3 linked regions of the Stegostoma tigrinum genome follow. The main gene of each other region encodes a partner of the protein of the gene in region 2 in a complex. Links are inferred from orthologs where the notes say so. Each region holds a gene or a part of one and is shown on either strand. Other genes may lie near its edges. The genes, in order: rho guanine nucleotide exchange factor 12-like, plxnb1b and sema4d.

Region 1 (7,952 bases), on a different chromosome or scaffold from region 2:
CTAACCTGCATCGAGTCATAGAGTTATACAGCATGGAAATAGACCTTTTGGTCCAACTTGACCATATTGACTAGATATCCTAAATTAACATTTGCCAGCATTTGCCCTATATCCCTCTAAACCCTTCCTATTCATGTACCCATCCAAATGGCTTTAAGTGTTGTAATTGGACCAGTCTCCATCACTTCCTCTGGCTGCTCATTCTACACACACACCACCCTTTGTGTGAAAAACTTGCCCCTTAGGTCCCTTTTAAATGTTACCCCTCTCACCTTAAACCTATGCCATCTAGTTTTGGACTCCACTAGCTTGGGGACAAGACCTCGGCTATTCAACCTATCTATGTCCCACATGAATTTATAAACTTCTATAAGGTCACCCCTCAGCCTCCAATGCTCCAGGGAAAATAGTCCCAGCCTATTTCAGCCTCTCCCTATAGCTCAAACCCTCCAACCCTAGCAACACATTGGTAAATCTTTTCCAAGCCCTTTCAAGTTTCACAACGTCCTTCCTGTAGCAGGGAGACCAGAATTGAATGCAGTATTCCAACAGTGGCTTAATCCTGTATAGCCACAACATGACCTCCCAACTCCTATATTCAATGCAATGACCAATAAAGGTAAGCATACCAAATGCCTTCTTCACTACCCTGTCTATCTCCAACTCTACTTTCAAGGAACTATGAACCTGCACTCCAAGGCCTCTTTGTTCAGCAACAGTCTGTAGGATCTTACCATTAAGTGTATAATTCTACTCTGATTTGCCTTTCCAAAATGCAGCACCTCACATTTATTTAAATTAAATTCAATCTGCCACTCCTTGGCCCATTTGCCCATCTGATCAAGGTCCCGTTGTACTCTGGGGTAACCTTCTTCGCTGTCCACTACACCTCCAGATTTGGTGTCACCTGTAAATCATATCTCCTATGTTCACATCCAAATCATTTATATAAACTGATGAAAAGCAGTGGACCCAGCATCGATCCTAGTGGCACACAGCTGGTCACAGGTCACCAGTCTGAAAAGCAACACCCCACCAACACCGTCTGTCTCCTACCTTTGAGCCAGTTCTGTATCCAAATGGTTGATTCCCGTTTTCCACGTAATCTATCCCTGCTAACCAATCTATCATGTGGAACCTTGTCGAATGCCTTACTGAAGCTCATATAGATCATGTCTTCCACTTTGCCTTCAATCATCCCACGCACAAAGCTATGTTGACTATCCCTAAGCAGTCTTTACCCTTCCAAATACATGTAAGTCCTGTCCCTCAAGATCCCCTCCAACAACTTGCCCACTGCCAATGTCAGGCTCACCGGCCTATAGTTCCCTGGCTTTTCTTTATCACCTTTCGTAAATAGTGGCACCACGTTAGCCAACCTCCGGTTGTTCGTCACCTCACCTGTGGCTATCAATGATACAAATATCTCAGCTAGGGGCCCAGCAATCTCTTCCCTCGCTTCTCACAGAGTTCTAGGGTACACCTAATCAAGTCCTGGAGGTTTATCCATCTTTATGCATTTTAGGAAATCCAGTACCACCTCTTCTGTAATGTGGACATTTTTCAAAATGTGCCTATTTATTTCCCCAAGTTCTCTAGCTTGAATTTCCACTCCACAGTAAATACTGATGCAAAATACTTGTTCAAAATCAGAATATCTTCCCCATCTTCTGCGGTTTCATACATGGGGGGCCTTGCTGATCTTTAAGGATCCTTGTTCTCTCCATAGTTACCCTTTTGTCCTTAATGTATTTGTAGAATCCCGACATCCTTAACTGGGGGAGTAAACTGAAACACCCAGGAGGGAACCCATGCAGACATGGGGAGAATGTGCAAACTCCACACAGACGGTTGCCTGAGGGTGAATTTGAACCCCAGCCCCTGGTACTGTGAGGCCGCAGTACTAACCACTGAGTTACTGTGCCACCCATTTCTTTGTGCCACTATCATAGTCAAAGATGTTGGTAATTAAACACTTTTGCGTAAGATATACTCTCAAAGCTTTCGTCTCAGGAGTCAAGATCATGTGTAGTCTTCAGAGGGAAGAGTTAGTCAGCAGAGAGAGCAGAACCAGGATACTGATGTGATTCATGCTTGTTTTAGAGTAATCCTTAATTTTTACATATCTCAATTGTAAAGTCCCTTGTAACTGAATAACGCTGTCTGGACTGTTTTTGCAGTCCTTTCACTAGTTCATGTTCTGCAATTCCCAATATGAACACAGCACATTTTGGTGGAAACATTCAATAGAACCGACACATCCTGAATACTGCCAGGTCCTGGGCGGAGGGGTTTCTGAGTTGTCGATGTCTCAGATCCAGTGGAGATTTCAGAAAGTGAGGAAAGTGTAGTCACAAAATAGAGGTGTTGGAGGGAGTACCCAAACTTCCAAACACCTCAGCTGCCTCACATTCTGCAGGTCAGCTATTAGACTTATCAGGCATCTCTGAACCAATTCCCGGAATGGTGGGATTACCATATGTTGAAAGATTGGAGCGACTGGGCTTGTATACACTTGAGTTTAGAAGGATGAGAGGGGATCTGATTGAGGCGTATAAGATTATTAAGGGATTGGACACTCTGGAGGCAGGAAGCATGTTTCTGCTGATGGGTGAGTCCAGAACCAGAGGACACAGTTTAAAAATAAGGGGTAGGCCATTTAGAACAGAGTTGAGGAAAAACTTCTTCACCCAGAGAGTGGTGGATATATGGAATGCTCTGCCCCAGAAGGCAGTGGAGACCAACTTTCTGGATACTTTCAAGAAGGAGATAGATAGAGCTCTTAAAGATAGTGGAATCAAGGGTTATGGGGATAAGGGAGGAACAGGATACTGGTTGCGGATGATCAGCCATGATCATAATGAATGGTGGTGCTGGATTGAAGGGCTGAATGGCCTACTTCAGCACCTATTGTCTATTGTCAATCAAACTAGAAGGGAACCAAATCTTTCTCAAGGAATGGGGAAGGACTGAAGTTTGGGATTAGGAAACATTTTTGGATCAATAACTCACGGCACTTCCCAGCAAAAGGGACTCTGGGTTTGGAGCGAGATTTATCCTGGGTGTGGAAGCAGATTGATTTCTGATTTGCTGGGGATTGACTCATTTTTGGAGTGGGACTGAGTCTGGATGTGGAGCAAGACTGATTCCAGCATTGGTCCAAGACTGAATCGGGTCAGGAAGGGGATTAAGTTCAGGTTTGGTACAGGATTGACTCCAAGTTTGGAGTGGGACAGACTCAGGCTTTGGTACATGATTGGCTGGAGTTTGGAGTGGGACTAATTGACTAGTGTCGTGGAGTCATTGAGTCATAGAGCATGAAAGCAAACCCTTTGATCCAACTCATCCATGCTGACCAGGTTTCCAAAACTGAACTAGGCCCCATTGCTGTACCCATCCAGGTGCCTCTTAAATGTTGGAATTGTACCAGCCTCCACCACTTCCCCTAGCAGCTTATTTCTTGTACATCCCACCCTCTGTGTGAAAAAGATGCCTCTCAGGTCACTTTTAAATCTTTCCCCCCTCATCTTAAACCTATGCCCTCTAGTTATAGACTTCATAACGTCGGGAAAAGACCTTGCCTCTTCATTTTATTGATGCGTCTTTTATAAACCTCGGTCAGGTCACCCCTCAGTCTGCTACATGGACACAGGGAGAATAGCCCCAGCCTCTCCCTATGACTCAACCCCTCCAGTCTTGGTAACATTCTTGCAAATCTTTTTTGCACCCTTTCCAATTTAATAACATCCTTCCTACCACAGGGTGACCACAATTGTATATAGTTCTCCACACGTAGCCTTGACAATATTTTGTAGAACGGCAACATGACATCCCAACTCCTGTTCTCAATGCGCTGACCAATGAAGGCAAGTGTGCCAACTGCCATCTTCACCACCATGTCTACTTGTGACACCATTTTCCCCCTTTGAAAACACTCCCCAGGGCCCTATCATTAACTGTACAAGTCCTGCTCTGGTTTGTCTTACCAAAATGCAGCACACCTCTTTTATATACATTAAACTCAATCTGCCATTCTTTGGTCCAATGGTCAAGTCCATTGTACTCTTATGTGACCTCCACAGTCCACTATACCATCAATTTTGGTGTCATCCACAAACTTTCTAACCACGTCTCCCAAATTCTCATCCAGATTGTTTTTTTTTAAATGACGAACAACAGTGAACCCAGCATTGATCCTTGTGGTGCACTGCTGGTTACAGGGCTCCAGTCTGAACAACAACTCTCCAGGACCTCACCCTCAGGTTTCCTGTCGTCAAGCCAATGTTGTATTCAATTAGCTGGCTTTCTCTGGATTCCATGTGATCTAACCTTACTAACAAATCTAGCTTGTGGTGGCTTGTTGAAGGCCTTGCTAAAGTCCATGTAGACTACGTTCATTGCTCTGTCTTCATCTATCTCCTTGGTCACCTCTTCAAAAAACTGAATCAAGTTTGTGAGTCATGATTTCCCACACACAAAGCCAGGCTGACTATCGCTCGTCAGTCGTTGCCTTTTCAAATGCACATAAAATTATTCTGTCTCTCAGAATCACTTCCAACAATTCACCCACTACTGATGTCAGACTCGTTGGTCTGTAGTTTGCTGGCTTTTCTTTGCAGCCTTTCGTAAACGATGGCACAACATTAGCCACCCATCAGTCTGCTGGGGCCTTATCCGTAGCTGTCTATGCTACGGACTCTGCAATTTCTTGCGTATATTCCCACAATGTTCTGGGATATACTTGAGTCCGGGGCAGGGCAGCATTGATTCCAGGTTTAGTGCTGGACTGACTGCGGGTGGGTAGCGTGTTTGATTCCGGGTTAGGAAGGAAGTGTTGGTGCATAGGATTACTTTGCGCGGAGTAGGTCTGGAGGCGGCGAGGCGGCGGCGGCGGATGGAGGGCGGAGGTGAAGCGGCTCGAGTGAAGTAACAAAGTAACAACCGGCACCGGGAGCGGGGACACTGTCCGGGGGCGGGGGACCCCACACCCAGACACTGACAGCGACTAACTGACCGGGGCAAGAGACACGGCCCGGGGTCCAACTGACCGGGACTGAGTATCCGGGAGACGGGTCCGGAGCTGGGGAGAGTCCGAGGCCCGGAGCCAGTGACCGGGGCCCGGAGCCAAGGAGAGCCCGAGGCCCGGAGCCGAGAGCCCGGGATACTTTGGGATACAATCTGCTACTTTCCTGATACATTGCTGCATTTTATTGCTTTTCTTCCTTGCGGATACTTTGTTTCTGAGTGGATCCTGATCCCGGTTTGGCCCACTGTTTCCCCTCCGGGAGGCTGCAGCCCCGGTTTCAGTTTTGGCCCCGGACCCGGGGATGGGTGTTCGCTCCTGGAGACGCCTGTGAACCGCCAGAAGCGGCGGCCCCTGGAGCACTCCGAAGGTCGGCTGTCCCGCATTTAGATCTCGGCCGGGAGCGGCGGAAAACTCGGGGACGATTGCGGAGGAGAAAATGAGAATTGGATAAACTTGGAATCATTGAGAGGAGCCAAATGAGCGTTACACCGTCCGGCCTGAGTGAGAGGTAAGAGAGGTGCTTTAAAAACCCGACTGGAGATAGTTACCTGGGTGATCATATTCTTATTGTGGCCTGTATTAATCTCACTGATAGTCCTGGGAAGAGCAAGCGGGTGGAGAGGATGCAGAGATTCTCGACAGTGGTGCCAGGACTTGTGCTGGAGAAGCTGGGATTGTTCACCTTGGAGCAGACAAGGTTAAGAGCAAAAACAAAGTTGCTGGAAAAACTCAACTCTGGCAGCATCTGTGGAGGAGAAACCAGACTTAACGTTTCAGGTCTGGTGACCCTTCCTCAGAACTTGCCAGAATCTTTCAAAATCATGAAGGATAGGTTAATGTGAGGGAGACAGACCGAGCAAGAGGGTTGCGAGTCCAGAGGCTTTCAGATTTTTCAGAAAATAACTTGTTTTGGGGGTGGGATGCAATAAAAATTTTATAGTTTTAAATGGGTGATGAAGGCATATTCAATAACTTTTAAAAGGTAATTGCACGATTCATGGAAAGGAAAAAAATGCAGGATTATGAGGAAAAATATTGGGCACCTTGTGAAGAGTTGAACAAGTTTGAAGGGCTGATTAGCATCTGTGTTAAGATAAACTTATCCTAGGAACCAGACAGTAATGGTGACAGGATCAGTAACATTCGCTTTTAGTTTGCTAAATCTGAGAGATAATTAATGGTATTTTGGAAGCTATAGTTCACAGTTTCAATTCTTTGTCTGCATGGGTATTGGCGAACAGTCAAATCCCAAAGCAGTTAGATAATAACTAATGTCAGGGACTAGAATGAAAAACAGTCATAAACCTTGAATACTAACTATACTGGATCATAGTATAATATAACACTGGTGAGTTTGCTGTTTGGTTTCACGTTATGTTCCCACCCTGCTCTTCCTACCCTGTTACAGTAGCTGATTTGCAGGTGAGGTGTTGGGGCCCACTGGAAGAGTTTCTAATTCAGAGCACACATGTTCGATGGAAAATTCCATGGAATCATTGACTCACTGGCAGGATGAGCACTCCACAATCCAGGGATTGGTAAGGAGATAGAGTTTAGCATTGTCCTGAAATGTTGAACAAAAACAAGGTGTGGCTATTTTGATCTGTCAGTCTTGTTGCAGAGTGGAATAATCAACCAGTATACTATGGGAGATGGATCTTTTACTACTTCCTTGAGTTGGATGAAGTTTGGGATTTCACAAACTGCTCATAAATAATCAAGATAATAAAATGTGAGGCTGGATGAACACAGCAGGCCAAGCAGCATCTCGGGAGCACAAAAGCTGACGTTTCGGGCCTAGACCCTTCATCAGAGAGGTCTGGTGACCCTTCCTCAGAACTTGCCAGAATCTTTCAAAATCATGAAGGATAGGTTAATGTGAGGGAGACAGACCGAGCACCCTGTCTACTGGGACTTCTGGAGAGATGAATTCATAGGAAACAGCAAAGTAGTATACTCGCTGCTGGTGAACGTGATGTAACTGTTATTTCACTAGATGCCCAGAGTGGAATAGTGCAAAAATTGGGCAGAATGTGGAGATTTCTGAGGAACATTTAGGGCTGTGACCAATTAGAAGGGGTTTCTGTAATTGATTGTTGTGCGTGATTCACAATAATATTGTATGAAAAAAATGTTTGCATAACGTATTGGGACCTCTTCAGTGTGAAAGACCCAGTTGATGCGAAGAACTTCTGAGTAAGATTCAGGAACAAGAGCAGTTCCATGTGGAATAATATCTGCTTTTGCTCGAAAGCAGCCAATCAGATTGCAAACTTTTGATCAGGAAGCAGTAAAATGGGAACTGATTTTCCGGAGAATGAAACAGCTGATTGAGACCGACCAGACATTATCGGTTTGATAGTGAAGGGAACATTCCAGCAGTTTAAGGTGATTGTTAAGGGCCACTGAGCTGTTGACTTGGTTGTGTCTTCACACATCAGGAACTGAGTGGTAATCTTTCTGGCTGAAACTACAGAACCCAAACCTGGTTGAATCAAGCCCAATTCCGGCTGCAATAATCTACCTTTTTAGTAGGTGTGTGGATAGAGGATTATTACACCCACTGCAACTCAATGGGAGGAGATTCCACTTTGTATCAGTGTCCTGAGTCATCACTAGTGACCCCTGTACAGTAGTAGACCTTGCCACTTATTCCCAGCCAGGCCTCTCCTGTGGGATCTGTATCATAGAATTCTGCTTTTCAACTCAGTCGGCTCCAGAAGGCACTATTCAGAATGAGAGATAATGGGAACTGCAGATGCTGGAGATTCCAAGATAATAAAATGTGAGGCTGGATGAACACAGCAGGCCAAGCAGCATCTCAGGAGCACAAAAGCTGACGTTTCGGGCCTGGACCCTTCATCAGAGAGGGGGATGGGGGAGGGAACTGGAATAAATAGGGAGAGAGGGGGAGGCGGACCGAAGA
Region 2 (7,472 bases):
GTCTTACTTGTCCTATGCCTACAAGATTAAAGTGTGCACATTTAAATCAGGCAAGTCTCAGATTTAAATTGTGCTTTTCACAACCTCCACACCTCCAACAGCATTTCACTGACTCAGCATTGCTGTGATGCAGGAAAAGGTGGCAGCCAAATGGAATGTCACAAGCAAATAAAAACCGAAAGAACTGTGGATGCTGTAAATCAGGAACAAAAACAAAAGTTGCTCAAAAAGCTCAGCAGGTCTGGCAGCATCTGTGGAGGAGAAACCAGAGTTAACGTTTCGGGTCCGGTGAGCCTTCCGCAGAACTGATGGTGGCTGGGAAAGCATCAGTTTATATGCAGAAAGTAAGGAGATGGGTGGGGTAGGGAGTAAATGATAGGATAGAGCCCAAAGAGAGAGAAAGGCAGTCGCACAGTCAAAGGAGTTGCTAACGATCAGGCTGGGAGGGTGAATAGTTGTTAATGGGGACTGTCAGTGGCCAACAATAGGGAGTGTGTAATGGCAGGCTATGTGGCAACAAGGCCTGGTGTGTGGGGTTGGGGGCTGGGACATGGGGGAGTTTAGACCTTAAAATTATCGAACTCAATATTGAGTCCGGAGGGCTGTAGGGTCCTCAGGTGGAAAATGAGGTGCTGTTCCTCCAGCTTGCGTTGGGCTTCACTGGAACATTGCAACAAGCCAGAGACAAAGAAATTGGCCAAGGAGCAGGATGGTACATTGAAGTGACAGGCAACAAATAGTTCAAGATCTTTTCTGCGAGCAGAACGTAGATGTTCTATGAAGTGGTCACCAAGTCTACACTTCGTTTCCCCAACGTACAGGAGACCACATTGCGAGCAGCAAATGCAGTGGACTGGATTCTGGCAAGTGCAGGTGGTGTTGCTTCCCCTAGATGATGTTTCAGCCTTTCGATGCTGGGGAGGGAGGAGGTAAGTGGGCAGGTGCTGCACCTTCGCCGGTTACAGGGAAAGGTGCCGTGGGGCTGTCAGGAGGCGTTGGGGGTGAAGGATGTGTGGATCAGGGTGTCCTGGAGGGAACGGTCCCTGCAGGAGGAGGACAAAGGAGGGGAAGGGAATGTCTTTGTCTGGTGATGGCATCTCACTGGAGGTGGTGGAAAACGGTGTCTGTTGATCTTCTGAATGTGGATGCTGGTGGGAGAGTAGGTGAGGATAAGGGGAACCCGGTCACTGTTGCCGGAGGGAAGAGAAGAGGTGAGGGCGGAAGTGCGGGAGATAGGTCAGACCTGGTTGAGGGCCCTGTCGACAATGGAATATCACAACCGTCAAGAGCATCAGAAAGGTTTCACGAACACCAAGCGATCACAGCCAGGTAATCTGTGTTAGCTGTTGGCTAAGGAAAACAAAATGGCCAAGATTACATAACTTTTCCACATTAGACTGCCATTGGATCCTTTACGTTATTCTGCACCTAAAGTCAAATCAAGAGATGGCCACAGGTGAGCAAAAGCAGACTCAAACTTTCTTACTTTTCAGAAATTGACTCCTCTGTGGGATGTGGGTACTGCCGTAGTGAGGTCAGCACTTATTCATACCTAATTAGGGAGGGAGCGATGAGCTGCCTCCTTGAACTACTGCAGTCCATGTGATGTGAGGACATCCACAGTGCTGTGTGAACAACAAAAATGGCTACAGCTGTTGGACAAGGTCATCTGAGTGAACCTGTTTGATGCCTACTATAATGGTGATAGCTACTCTGTGTTGTATGAGAAAAAACAGGGAACATCACAGTGGTTACATGAAAAGGTCTGGTAATCCAAAAGGTCTGGATGAATAACTCAGAGAATGAAAGCTTAAATTAGGGCCACTTGAGAATGTTTTGAGGCCATCTTGAAACTAGAAAGTTCATAATGGCCGTGAAACTGTCCCTTTCGTGAAAGGAGCCTGTCATCTTCCTGTCTGAATTGTACCTAACACCAGTCCAAAGTCAACGTCATTGCTGTATTCAAGAAATTTATACAGCACATTTTACACACTATCTTCCACTTAGAATTTATGGAATTCAAAATTCAACTTGTTTTCGCACACAATGTTGCACCCTTGGGTTCATCAATGATGATATCTTAATGTTTAGACCACACATTTTGTGTAAAGCACACAGAGCAAGGACAAAACATTTCATGTTGAAAATGTCAGAAAGTGCAAGAGAAATAAACTTTTCTCGATACCCCTCTCCGAGGTGCCTCATTACAATGTCCAGCGTCTATATTCCTTTTGAGGAACACAGCCAAGGTGTCCCTTAGTGTACCACTGCTGTTAGCCCAGAAACAGCATCTGTGCCCTAGTGTGCACCTCTGTGGAGCTGCTTCTAGCTTCAGTACATCCCTTAACATGTAATCCGGGACGTTTCCACATGCCAGTTTGCAACACTCAGTTGATGACAACATTTCGCATCGAAGACCCACTGTCTTCTGGAATGGCCTAGAAAACAACCCAGCTAAGGTTAAATATCAGGATCAGCTATTAAAACTGATCTTACTAGCGTCATTCATATCCAAAAGAGTAAACATATTAAAAAAGTCAACAAGCACATCTCTAACAGTTAGACACTGGGTCCGTGAGGCTACTACTACATTTTGCATTTTAATTCCTTTGTTCTGTAGTGGGACGAGGCAGAACAGATCTGCTTCTCTGAAGCTAATCTCTCACCCAGAGACAATTCAGATAAGATGGGGACAGAAGCATTGGTGACTTTTAAAAGCTGTCTAGCTCAAAGCTGAACCTGCAGTAAGCTTCGATGGTGCTCAAAGGACAGCAGTTTTATAATTGTTATTTAGTTTCCACCACAGGTAACTGCATGGCTAAGATTCTGTGACAATACTGTATTGCAGGGCCAACCCTCTTCAAAAGAAGAGTGCCAGAATTAAAAACTTGCAAGGCATTTTACACAGAAGAACCTGATATTTTGTACAAACACAGCAACATGCAGGTGGCATATGGCAGCAACAAGGATGCCACACAATATACTCAGTCAGAGAATTGCTGATCACTGATGAACACATATGCTCACCTCCATCTCCACAGCTCCAGCATCACGGTGTCTAAGTCAGGAAGCCAGCAAGTTGCTAAGTTACGGATGATCAGCAAGGTCAAAGGCCGACAGCTGTGAATGACTCACTCATTCACAATGTGACCAACCTGATCCTACACAACAAGGAATGCAGAGCTTAATTAGCTTCCTAAACCACAAAAGCAAGTAAGTCTCAGAAAGAAAATCTTCAGCAGAGAAAAAAAGAGCTGAAAGACCTGTAAACTGGGTCACCTTCAAAGCATGAGTCTGAAGTCATAAGAATAAGGCAAGAGGCATGCAAGCCAAAACAGAACCTGCAATAAAAGAATAGACAAGTTCAAAATTGCCTCTCTCATATTATGCAATTGATCCCCCAAGGAAACCCTTGTGGATTTTTTTAAACATGCATTTATCTTGCTGCTTTAAAAAGATGCAAGTGTGTTTTTTTGTGAGAATCAATAAGAAACTGACGGCCCTTCAGATTCACAAAACCACTATCTGCACTAATACATTCAGGTGGAACGCACATTCTCCAGATGCCATTAGGGCAGTTCACAAAAAGCTATGCTCCTGTTACAGTAGCTGCTCGGGGCACGCGTTCTCCAGACACAAGCCACTTACAACCCAAATGTGCACTTACTGCAACTTGTTGTGTACTTTGCAGCCAACAGAAGGGGTTTCAGCAAAAAAAACCAAGTCAGTAAGCGTTTATTCTAGAGATAATAGGAACTGCAGATGCCAGAGAATCCTCAAACTTTGCCTTGCCTTGCAAATGCACATGCCCCGTGGTAGAATAGCTCAAAGCATCCACCTAAGTAGGCAGGTCACAGAAATCTCAACAGCTTGTCTGTCAGGACTACCTTCAACATACAGTCTTGTCCTAAAGCAACGTTATCAAACAAAACCTGATAGTGAGCCACACAGAAAGATATTGGGTCAGATGTGCAATATCCTGCAGTAAGGTCAGCTTTTAATGAACATTACAAGGGAGGAAAGAGGTGGGGAGGGAGGACAGGGGATTTCCAGAGTTTACAGCAGAGTTCAGCCAATAGCATATATTCAGCAGGAGATGGATATAGGAAGGATCCTACTAAATTGGAGAAAATATTTAGAAGGATATTATTGGGAATGGAGGGTTTGAGTTGTAAGGGGAGGTTGGATAGCCGGGACATTTTTTGGGGTGATCTCATATAGGGGTTTATAACATCATGAGGGGCATAGGTGAGCTGAATAGCAAGCGTCTTTCCCCTAAGGCAGGAGAGTTCAAAACGAGCAGGCATATTTTTAAGGTGAGAGGATTTAGAAAGGACCTGAGGGGCAACTTTTTGACATCGAAGGTGGTTTTATGTGGAATGAACTGCTGGAGGAAGTGGTAGATGCAGGTACAGTTACAACATCTAAAAGACAGGTACATGAATAGATTGGGAGAGATATGGGCCAAATGCAAATAAAAGGGAATAGTTTAGTTTGGGAAACTTGGTCAGCATGGACTGGTTGGACCAAAGGGTCTGTTTTCGTGCTGCATGACTGACTCTATAACGGCAGGAGTGAAAGCTTCTTAGAGCTTTGCAGGGCCGGAGAAGATTACAGAGATGGTGACACAGAGACAGGTATGAGAGAATTCAGTCAGGGTCTGTCTTGTAACACAGAATCTGGAGCTGGTTCCTTCGAAGTAGAAGTTCACATGAGCTATGCAGGCTGAGCTTGGAACTCGAAGACTCAGTGAGGATTCCAAGTGTTGCAGCAGTCATCTCTCCCCACTGGACCTTCCTTTCAGATCTATCTCACGTCGACACTCGATGGGAATCTCAATGTGCTTACTAACTAGTGACCTGAAAATCCGACTTGAGGAGCAAAAAAAAAATGGAACGACTGCTATCTCTGAGCGACTGCAACCCTCCCCAAAGTTCAGACATCTCGTGGAAGGCAGGGCACTTTGAATGACAAGATCGATGGAAGCACTCATTGAGGTTCAAGCAAACACTATATCCATTTCTCCACAGGGATTAGTGATGGAGACTCAATTGCTTACAATCAATGTGAAAAACTTGGATAAAGGGACCAAATGTGAAATTACAAAATTGCGGGAGACACAGAGATGGATGCAAGAAAAGTCATGCAGAGGGCACAAGGAGTTTGCAAACAGGGATATCGTTAAGTAAGGGGCAAAGTTTGGAAACTGCAATGTAACGTGAGAAGATGTGAACTTGTCCACTGCAGCAATAAATATCTAAAAGCAGCATATTATTTGAATGCAGACACAGAAGAGCTCTGAGGGACAGAGTAATCAGTGTTCCGATACATGAATTACAAAATGTTAGGATGCAAGTACAAATGATTAGAAAAACAAATGTAATGTTGTTTCTTGCAAGGCAAATAGAATATAACAGTAGGGAAGGTTTGTCACAGCTGCACAGAGCATTGGTCACAGCTACAGTGTAACAAGAGCTTGATAACTTAGAGCTCATTGGACTGGAAGCTTGTCACTGAATGGGTACAGTACACGTCACAGTTAGTCTGCAATTGATTAAAGTGTCTAAGAATGCAGTGTGCTCAATTGAGATACGTTGTATTTTATTGCATTTTCCGTAATGACTAGTTTGAAATGTTCTGGAATGTACCTTTTACCACTCTAGTAACAATATATATTTTTGCAAAAGTGTTTTTTAAAAATTGGTTAGAGGATATCTGCGATACTGTGCATGGTTTTTAAGGAAGTGCGGAAAAGACTGGAAGTCTGAGGTACATCTTGACAGGACAGTTTGGACTGTATCCATCGAGGTTTGAAAGGTGATCTTATTTTGATAAAAAATACTACGAGACTTGACAGGATGGGTGTTGAAAGGATGCTTTCCTTGTGGGAGAGACTCGAGCTTGAGGTCATTTTAAAAATGTGGTGTCCCATTTAAAGGTAGTGATGTGGTGAATTTATTTCCCTCAAGAGGCCGATAGTCTACAGAATTGTCTTGCCGAGACGGGAGGACGGGATCATTGGATTTTTTTTTAAAAAGGTGGATTTTAAAGTCTTGACTGACAAAGGAGCCAAAGACTATGAGCAGCATGCTGGAAAGTAGAAGTCACAATCGAGATTAATATCTTTGAACAGGTTGGTAAGAAAGCATCTTCAATCCAACAAACCAGGATCTTATCGATTTACAGAGCAGGCTCAAGGGACCAAATGGCTGAGATAACACGGTGTGAAGCTGGATGAACATAGCAGGCCAAGCAGCAGAGGAGCGGGAAAGCTGATGTTTCGGGCCGAGACCCTTCTTCAGAAATCACATGCCTGATTCCATTTGCTCCCGATTCACATATCCCCCTCCGTCTCCGTTTCCCTGCCTCTCCGCTTCTCTATCCTTTTAAAAGATGATTGTTAAAACTTGTCCTAGACCTAGCTGTGGATTTCAGATATCCCAGCCCCTCACTCTGTGGTTCTGCGTCGTTTTGTTTGACTGTTTCTGTGAAATGCCTTGGAATGTTTTGTCACACTAAAGGCGCAGTGCGTACCTGTTGCGGAATACCCGCCCCTGCCTGTATGCTACAACATTTCACATTTCAGTCCCTTCCTGAGCTAATCTCCAAGCCAACCTGAAGATATGGTGACGACTCCAAACAAAAAGGTGCAAGTTTCATATGGTTAGCAGCTTGTTGGATGAATGAGTTGGAAGAAGCAATATTGGTGGCAGACTAGCCCCAGGGAATTCTGCTTAACCACTTACTTATTGAAGCTTTACTACAATGTAAATATGCTAATAACAAAAAAAAAATCACATTTCAGTGTTTGATCCATTTATTTGTCCCGACTTGCATGAATCTAACGTAACCTAATAAACCTCCTTTGTTCATATCTTACTCCACCCATCAGCAACTATAAAAAGAGCTGTCTCAGTAACAGAAGCTAACTTTTCTCCAGAACCATTTGCCTTGAGGTTGTTAGTTTGAGCCCTTCAAACAAAGGGATAACACAGACTTGACTAGTGGCAGCATGCAGGTGTCATCTAACATCGTATATTTGCGCAGCACCTGCATTGTGGTAATTCAAGGAAACCACACGGTTAGCCATTTGTTGGCAAACACTATTTTTCTCTGGAAGATATTTCATTGATGAATAGGCTCCTTGATGATACATGAAAGCCACACTCCTGTTTTTTTCGCCCCCATCCTCAAGTTCAAACCATTTTCAGTCCAATTAAAAGGTTTCAGTAACCCAGTAGCCAGGCAAACAGAGACAGCAGCAACCACTCAAGTGGTTACCAAGGTGATCAGTACAATCCAAGAGAGAAAGCAGCAGTACAGATTAAACAGCATCTTTATTATACACATCTGAGAATCTCAAAGGACCCATCCTAAGCAAACATGTCAGCAACAGAGCATCAAAAGCTAGAAACAGCCCTCCCTCAGTCCTTGTGTCAGAATGACTACTTTCCCAAACCAGCTGCAGCCTA
Region 3 (8,070 bases), on a different chromosome or scaffold from region 2:
GAAAGGTCAAGACAGTAGTTTTGATGGCAAAGGTTTAGTTAATAGCTGAGGAAGAGAGAGACTTTACTTTAAAGAGAAGTAATTCAAAGACGTAAGCAGCTGAAAGAACAGCACAAGATAAATGAAGGGAAGGTACAAGGCCAAAACTAGCAGGCAGTGGTAACGTATCAGATCTGAAGGACAATACAGATAAAGGAAGGGATGTAACCACAGATACATTTACAGATTTTAAATTTGAGCTTGTATGTGAAGGGAATGTATATAAATAGGTTGGCGAGCAACAAGATTTGTTATGAAAACAAACAGGTGGACAAGCTCAGCAAGTTCTAAAAAAGGGTCACCAGACCCAAAGCGTTAACACTGCTTTTTTTTTCTTCACAGGTGCTGCCAGACTTGCTGAGCTTTTCTGGCAATTTTGTTCTTGCTCCTGATTTACAGTATCTGCAGTTCTTTTGGTATTTAAGATTTGTTCTGATTTTGGATGATGTCAACTTGGAGATTGAAGTTCAAGACATTGGCATGGTAGATTTTATTGTAGAAAGCCTAACTGTATTCAAAAACTATCTTCACAGTTAATAAAGCATAATTCAAGATACCATGCATTTTAGTTGAAGCAATTGGAACAAAAGATGAAGGATATTCACGCAGAGTACAAACCATGCAAACCCGAGATTGAAAATCCATTGGAAATAAATCTACTAATCACATTGTAATTATTTGTTTCATTTTTGAACATTTACATGATTTTCACTGCAATGGCAAAGGCTACAAGCTAATTCACATCCTTTCCACAAAAAAAAAACGAAACCCTGGCCAAAATTTTCTCACGCTGAATACCATAACGCTGAAATGACCAAGGGTTACAATGAAAAACTAACAACTTAAAATATATAATGAAAAATTTATGCTTTGTTACTGTCAAAGTAAATCTAACCTATAATTAATAGTAGTAATCAGAACATTAAGGTTTATCATTACAGATTATTGGCAAGTTTATATCTTATAGAATTTGGTAGATTTAAGGAATCTGATGAAATTCATCTAAACCCAATTCTATTTTGGTGGAGTTGTATGGCTGAGGACAAAATCAGGCTATCTCAACATTTAAATAAGTCTGTAAAATCTGAAGATATTCTAATGCCCAAACAAAATAAATTTTCTAGCTTTTCAAGTTGCAAAGAAAAAAATGCAAAAACTGAGAAATCCAAGTTTATCGAAGATTTGCAACTTTAAGATCCTGACTACACCTCTGGAAGGGAAGAATGAATGACTTACTTATGAATGATTCACATTGTCATTTGTATTTAAACTATAGCGAAAAGTTTCAGTAACCAAAATCTGGTACCATTTTGAATAGTTTGAGTAAAAGAATAAAAGATACAACCGAAAAAGAGAGTCTTGAACCTTGACCAGCTCACCAAAGGCAATGGCATTCTAGAGTTGCACTAATATATACATCATTGGTAAACTGCTGAGAACAAATTACTTTTGTCATTTTATGTAACAAACAAATAGGAACAAATTCAGGAACTTTGAAGTGGGTCACCTTCCAATCTCATTTTAACTTTCTCCCCAACCCGGTTGCCGTTACTCTTTAAGCATCAACCAATCCCTCAAAACACCGTGACCAAGAAATGCAGGAAAGTGACCTGTGCCTCGGCCTTTGTTGATGTAGCATTCAAGCTGACTATTCGTAGTCATGGCAGAACAATATGGATCGATTTACGTTTAGAAGAAGAAGGCATTCAGGGCAAGTTCACAGAATCGGTAACTTGGATTACTAATACTACTGGGCAAACTAATACATTACCAGATTTTTTGTAGTGTAATCTACAAATGCGTGGCTTGGACTGTTCTTTGATTTATTTAATTGAAATTAAAACCAAAGGAAAAATGTTCCTTCTTAATCCGTGAAAGTGAAAAACGACGATCTCGTCGACTGTAAATGCATATGCAAAGATTCTTTTTTAAAAAAATAAACCCCATACGTTTTTACTAGAAGCAATTTTTTCTACACATATCGCAACACATGTTTAAAAAGGAAATTAATAACCCAAATCTTTCTCGTTCTTCCGCCTTTCTGAAACGATATCAATGAGAACCATGGGCAAAAAGCAGTCATAATGTGACCATCCTTACTCAGTTGATAAAGCTTTTCAATTCTCAGTTTATAACTGATGCGCCAGACGTAGAAGCTGAACACTGGAGTCACAACAGCGGCATAAAGTTGATGTTTGACCAATTGTTTTGTCTACCCAGAGGACCACGCAATGCAAAATTAACTCCACAAGAGACACAAACACAAAACGTGGCATGACCTGAAACACCTAACTAACTGTTTATCTAAAGTTTGTTGTTTTTAAGAATGCGAACAAGCGCGTGTGGTTTCAGAAAACTACGCTGCAGAGAACCACCGCAGTTACTGCTTGTGAAGTACTTCAAGTCGGCTGGACAAACCGAGACTCGCTTTCTTTACTTAGAAAGCGACACTATTTTTAAAAGGACGAAAGCTCAGTCAGACTTGTGCTGCAACCGCTGCCCCTTAAGTAAAGCATTTTTTAAGGGGGAAAAAACTGTAAAAAGCGGGCGCTGATATATGACTTACCGGAAAAGTGTACAGGAAACGTGCAGCTCTACCTCTCGCAACAAGTCCCACAACCACAACTGACAGTATGGCGGCCAAGGTTGGACTGGAGTTAACTGTAGTGCTTATCAGACCTCCACCATAGGCCGTCCCCGAGCCCCTCTCCAATTCGCTTCCCTTTTCCCACAGCAGGGTTAAAGTAGCAGCTGGGTCCCACAGCTGGATTTACCACTTACAACTGATCCGATCAATCTCGCAGTCCTCTACAAAACATACTCCTTTCACTTCTGTTAATGTTTGCTGCTTAAGCGTGAATGTGCCATGCGACGGTAATTTTTATTGACAAACGAGTGAAACGTCCTTTCGTTTATATTTTCACCTCTGATTTTAAACACGATACATAAGTTTCACCTACTAAGGTAGAGCAAAAGACTCCCAGGAACCTCCTGCAGTGTTAGATTAATGATTTAATTTCCTATTGAGTACATTAGCAGTGACTGGAATGAGCGGTTTTCAGTTCGTAATACTGAGCTCATGTTACACGCTGCCCATATTTTGCTACGTGTGGGAGTTCACCCAATACGACAAACGTGTAAAGTTCTGTACTCATGCTTAATAAAAAGAATTCTCTGGGGCCGGATTTGATTCCCCATCTCTGTCACTTTGGTCTCACAGCTACAGACGAGTAACATGACCCGTACACAGTAGGCTCTTTGTCAATTAAGTTGAGACCAAAATTGCATTTCTTAAGAAATCTAGAAATAAAATTCAATGAACAGCCAAAGCCATAACCAAAGTTAAAACGTCTGCTCAAAAACAGAAGTTGCTGGAAAAGCTCAGCAGATCTGGCAGCATCGGTGTTGAAAAATCAGAGTCCACATTTCGGGTTCAGTGACCCTAAGAACCGATGGTCGCTGGAAAAGTGTTGGTTTGTATGCAGCGCAAAGGATGGGGACGGGGGTAACGTGTAAACAGTAGATAGGGTTGGAGCCCAAGGAGAGACAAACAAAAAGAAACAAAGAAACCTACAGCACTGGAACAGGCCCTTCAGCCCTCCAAGCCTGCGCCGATCAAGATCCTCTGTATAACCTGTCATCTATTTTCTAACGGTCTGTGTCCATTTGCTCCCTGGCCATCCATGTACCTGTCCAAATATATCTTAAAAGACGCTAATGTGTCTGCGCCCACCACCTCCGCTGGCAACGCATTCCAGGTGTCCACCACCCTCTGTGTAAAGAACTTTCCATGCATATCTCTCTTAAACTTTCCTCCTCTCACTTTGAACTCATGAACCCTAGTAATTGAGTCCCCCACTCTGGGAAAAAGCTTTTTGCTATCCACCCTGTCTATAGCCCTCATGACAACAGTAGTTGGATAAACAAAGGAGTTGAAAACGATCTGGCTTGTAAGGTGAATAGCTGCTAATGGGGAATGTTAGCGACTAACAACAGGTAGTGTGTTATGACAGTCTATGTGATGACAAAGCCTGCTGTGTGGAGTAGGGTCTAGGACATGGGAGATTTTAGGCCCTAAAATTATTGAACTTGATATTGAGTCCAAAAAGCTGCAGGGTCCCCAAGTGGAAAATAATGTGTTGATGTTAGATGTTGGCCAGGGAATAGGGTGGTGTGTTAAAGTGGCAGGCAGCTGGAAGCCTTTTTTGTGAGCAGAACCTTGATGTTCTGAGAAGTGGTCACCCAGCCTATGCTTCGTTTCCCCAATCGAGATGAAACCACATTGTGAGCAGCGAATGCAGTAGACTCAATTGTGAGAAGTGCAGCTTCATCTGGAAGGAGATAGTAAGAACTGCCAACGCTGGATTTAGAGATAACACAGTGTGGAGCTGGGGGAACACAGCAGGCCAGGCAGCATCAGAGGAGCAGGAAAGTTGATCTTTCTGTTGGGTTCTGAAGAAAGGTACTGATCCAAAATGTCAACTTTCCTGCTCCTCTGATGCTGCCTGGCCTGCTGTGTTTCTTCAGCTCCACACTATGTTATTTCTTCATCTGAAAGGTACGTTTGGGCCCTTGGTGACTGGGGAGAGAGGTGGTAAATGCTATTTTTTCTATTTGGGCTCTATCCCCACCTATCAATTACTCCTTACCCCCTACCCCACCCTATGTGCTGCATATAAACCTATATTTTCCTAGCTACCATCAGTTCTGAGCAAGGGTTGCCAGATCCAAAATGTTAGCTCTGATTTGTCTTCACAGATGTGCCAGACCTGCTGAGCTTTTCCAGCAAATTCTGTCTTTGTTCCTGATTTACAGCATCTGCAGTTCGTTTGGTTTGTAAAACATTTGTTTGTGTTCATGAACAATCCAGCAGAACACTTGGACCATGTGTTGCAAACTGGCCTTGCAAAACAAAATATTACTATATTGCCCTTTATGTTGTGTGGAATGAAGGAATTACATTTTAACAATAATTTTGGAGCACAGCTCGAAAGGAATTGGTATCATAAACATTCTTCCTTGAAAATAAACAGTTTTTGAAAATAATATTTGGTAACAGCAGTCTGGGCCTATATTACATTTGGATTATTTACAAAGGCAGCAAAAAATTAAATAAGAAAAGCGTAAAGAAATTTGGGGAGTCCACCACTATTTCCATACCTAGTGAAAAAATTAAGGGGTGCCTGTTGTGGGTGTGGTCTGGAGGAATATTGCAGGTAGTAGAAATGGCAATTCTAGATTTGGGGACCAGTAACTTACCAGGGTTATCACATCTGAGCATCAAGAGATGTTGATTAGGAGGTGGACCCATCCACCCTTTGATTTGCTACAGGATGCCAAGCAGTCAATCCAATGGATTGAGTAACCCTCAGGTTGTAAGGCACAGTCAGTTGAAGCTGTAATGAGCCATGTCTCTGTAAAACAGAACACAAACATTCACTTTGTTAGAAAGATTTCTCCTTATAAGACCTAGCAAGTTTTCTCAAGCCTTCTTACCAAACTCTCCTTATTAACAACCTACCAAGACACCATATGGTGTACGTCTTGTCCAGTGCTAGCCCAAAACTACCAACCACCATTACAAGAAGAACTCATCACTGTCAGGATACCCCAGAGTAGACTGGCTTCCCTGGTGCCAGTGTGTGCTTTAAAATACCATTGTGTATTCAGACAAGCATAGTCAGTCCAGAACTGTCCTGCATAGTTCTTAGCAAGAGAAATTGTTACACATTTTCTCATTGCAGCAGGAAATATCACACAATAAAGCATGAAGAGCCAAGCCAAAATCCTGATCTTGACCATCCTATGGGGCTGACTGACTGTGTCCAAGCCAGTGGATGGGTATCTCAGACTGCCTTTGACTTACTGCTTTGGGACCTCCTGGCTGACCAATGTTTCCCATGATTTGACTAATGATTGCTGACAACTGCAAGTTTACTGGCATTGTGCCTATGCTGAATGACAAGGCAATATAACAATCCTGTGATCCTGGTAACTGACTAATGGGGCATACTGCAAAAGAGCAGGGAGGGGCAAGGCAGGGCAGAGATGCTGTGAACATCCAGGTGGGGTCAAAAGTGAGTAAGTGTGAAGAAAGTAAGTCAGCACCGCTGAGATGCAACCTTGTCTAATCATAAGCTTATGTACACATGTAAAGTGTTCTTGCAGCAACATTATCATGATGCATTGATAGACATCCTCTTTGGCCACAGGTAGGGACTGGACAATAGCCAATATTGTCCCATTGTTTAAGAAAGGTAGTAGGGATAATCTGGGAAATTTCAGGCCTGTGAGTCTCACGTCAGTGGTAGGGAAATTATTGCAAAAGATTCTCAGGGACAAGATCTATATGCATTTAAAAGCAAATGGACTATTAACGATTAGTGGTTTTGTGTGGGGGAGGTTGTGCCTCACTAACTTGATTGAGTTTTTTGAGGAGGTGATGAAGATAATTGATGAGGGTAATGCACTTCATTTTGTCTCCATGCGCCTCACTAAAGCCTTTGATGAGGTCTTTAACAGCTAACTGGGTCAAAAGGTGAAGTGATGAAGATGGATGCAGAACTGGCTTAATCATAGGAGACAGAAGGTAGCGGTGGAAGGATGCTTTTTGGAATGGAGGGTCGTGACTAGTGGTGTTCCACAGGGATCAGTGCTGGGACCTCTGCTGTCAGTGCTCTAGATGAATGATTTGGAGGAAAACATGGCTGGTCCAACTAGTAAGTTGGCGGACAATACAAAGATTGGTGGACTAGCAGATAGCAAGGAAGATTGTCAGAGGATACAGTGGGATATAAATCAGTTGGAGGCATGGATGGAAAAATGGCAGACGGAGTTTAATCCAGCCTAATGTGAGATGATGCATTTTGGAAAGTCAAGTACAGGTGGACGTTATACAATGAATGGCAGAACCCTTAGGAATATTGATATGCAGAGGGATCTGGGTGTGCAGGTCCACAGATTGCATGCTTACCTTCATTGGAAGGGGCATTGAGTATAAGAATAGGCAAGTTATGCTGCAGCTTTATAAAACTGTAGTTAGACCACACTTGGAATATTACCTACAGTTCTGGTCACCATGCTATCAGAAGGATGCGGATGCTGTGGTGAGGGTACAGAAAATGTTATCAAAGATGTTGCCAGGTATGGGGGATTTTGACAATAAAGAAAGGTTGGATAGACTGGGTTTGTTTAGACTGGAATGCAAGAGGTTGAGGGGCGACATGATGGAAGTTTGTAAGTTTGTGAATGGCATGGAAAGAGTGGAAAATATGAGGCTTTTTCCCAGGGTGGAGGGGTCAATTACTATTGGACATAGGTTTGATGTGCGGGGCGTGGATGTTTAAAAGAGATGTGTGAGGCAGTTTTACGCGCAAAGTGTGGTTAGTACCTGGAACATGCTGCCAGAGGAGGTGGTGGAGGCAGAAACAATAGCAGCTTTCAAGAAACAGCTGGACAAATACATGAATAAGAAGGGAATAAAGGGATCCAGATCCTGTAAGTGAAGACAGTTTTAGTATGGAAGGGAAAAGCGTGTTGGCGCAGGCTTGGAAGGCTGAAGGGCCTGTTCTTGTGTTGTATTGTTCTTTGTTCTTTGTTCTTTGTTCTTTGATGGTTGCTCATCTGTCTCGAGGTCCAGCATGGCAATACAGAAGCACATTGTAAATGGATTGGATATGTGCCATGGTGATTTGGTGTGTCTGTCACTTGTCAGATGCCAGCATCCATTGATATCTGTTGAACTGGCAGCACGGTGGCTCAGTGGTTAGCACTGTAGCCTCACAGCACTAGGGACCCACGTTCGATTCCAGCCTCGGGCAACTGTCTGTGCGGAGTTTGCACATTGTCCCCATGTCTGCGTGGGTTTTCTCTGGGTGCTCCGGTTTCCTCCCACAGTCCAGAGAAATGCAGGCTAGGTGGATTGGCCATGCTAAATTCCCCATAGTGTTCAGGAGTGTGTGGGTTATAGTGGGATGGGTCTGGGTGGGATGCTGTAAGGGGCAGTGTGGACTTGTTGGGCTGAAGGGCCTG

Evidence for each region.
Region 1: the proteins of plxnb1b (region 2) and rho guanine nucleotide exchange factor 12-like are in contact, whole or in part, in an NMR structure (PDB 2OS6), measured with the Homo sapiens proteins. The link is inferred for Stegostoma tigrinum from reciprocal best matches to the Homo sapiens genes PLXNB1 and ARHGEF12. Residues at the interface, in NP_001123554.1 of Homo sapiens: Glu2129, Lys2131, Val2132, Thr2133, Asp2134, Leu2135; in NP_056128.1 of Homo sapiens: Phe82, Gly83, Leu84, Thr85, Val86, Ser87, Gly88, Asp89, His127, Val131, Lys135.
Region 3: the proteins of plxnb1b (region 2) and sema4d are in contact, whole or in part, in a crystal structure (PDB 3OL2), measured with the Homo sapiens proteins. The link is inferred for Stegostoma tigrinum from reciprocal best matches to the Homo sapiens genes PLXNB1 and SEMA4D. Residues at the interface, in NP_001123554.1 of Homo sapiens: Leu80, Pro81, Pro82, Glu87, Arg136, Pro137, Gly138, Asp139, Thr140, Tyr142, Gly178, Glu202, Lys205, Ala207, Gly209, Arg210, Ser212, Glu213, Arg235, Arg242, Asp359, Val360, Asn361, Ser362, Leu367, Pro368, Thr371, Tyr375, Ser379, Asp380; in NP_001358123.1 of Homo sapiens: Glu99, Lys100, Gly101, Phe158, Tyr179, Phe181, Leu182, Gly183, Ser184, Arg198, Tyr201, Ile203, Glu208, Val240, Leu264, Arg265, Thr266, Leu267, Gln268, Lys270, Thr347, Gln350, Ser351, His352, Thr353, Asp388, Gln392, Lys395.

The regions. Positions count from the first base shown.
Region 1 is NC_081385.1:198,185-206,136, reverse strand, and holds the start of rho guanine nucleotide exchange factor 12-like, read left to right. Parts: upstream 1-4,879; 5' UTR 4,880-5,502; coding exon 5,503-5,534; intron 5,535-6,434; exon of another isoform or gene 6,435-6,538; coding exon of another isoform or gene 6,539-6,564; intron 6,565-7,952. UniProt on the Homo sapiens protein: May play a role in the regulation of RhoA GTPase by guanine nucleotide-binding alpha-12 (GNA12) and alpha-13 (GNA13). Acts as guanine nucleotide exchange factor (GEF) for RhoA GTPase and may act as GTPase-activating protein (GAP) for GNA12 and GNA13.
Region 2 is NC_081364.1:17,663,215-17,670,686, forward strand, and holds the start of plxnb1b (plexin-B1), read right to left. Parts: upstream 3,139-7,472; 5' UTR 3,051-3,138; coding exon 3,028-3,050; intron 1-3,027. UniProt on the Homo sapiens protein: Receptor for SEMA4D. Plays a role in GABAergic synapse development. Mediates SEMA4A- and SEMA4D-dependent inhibitory synapse development. Plays a role in RHOA activation and subsequent changes of the actin cytoskeleton.
Region 3 is NC_081356.1:53,945,773-53,953,842, reverse strand, and holds the start of sema4d (semaphorin-4D), read right to left. Parts: upstream 3,057-8,070; 5' UTR 2,606-3,056; intron 1-2,605. UniProt on the Homo sapiens protein: Cell surface receptor for PLXNB1 and PLXNB2 that plays an important role in cell-cell signaling. Regulates GABAergic synapse development. Promotes the development of inhibitory synapses in a PLXNB1-dependent manner.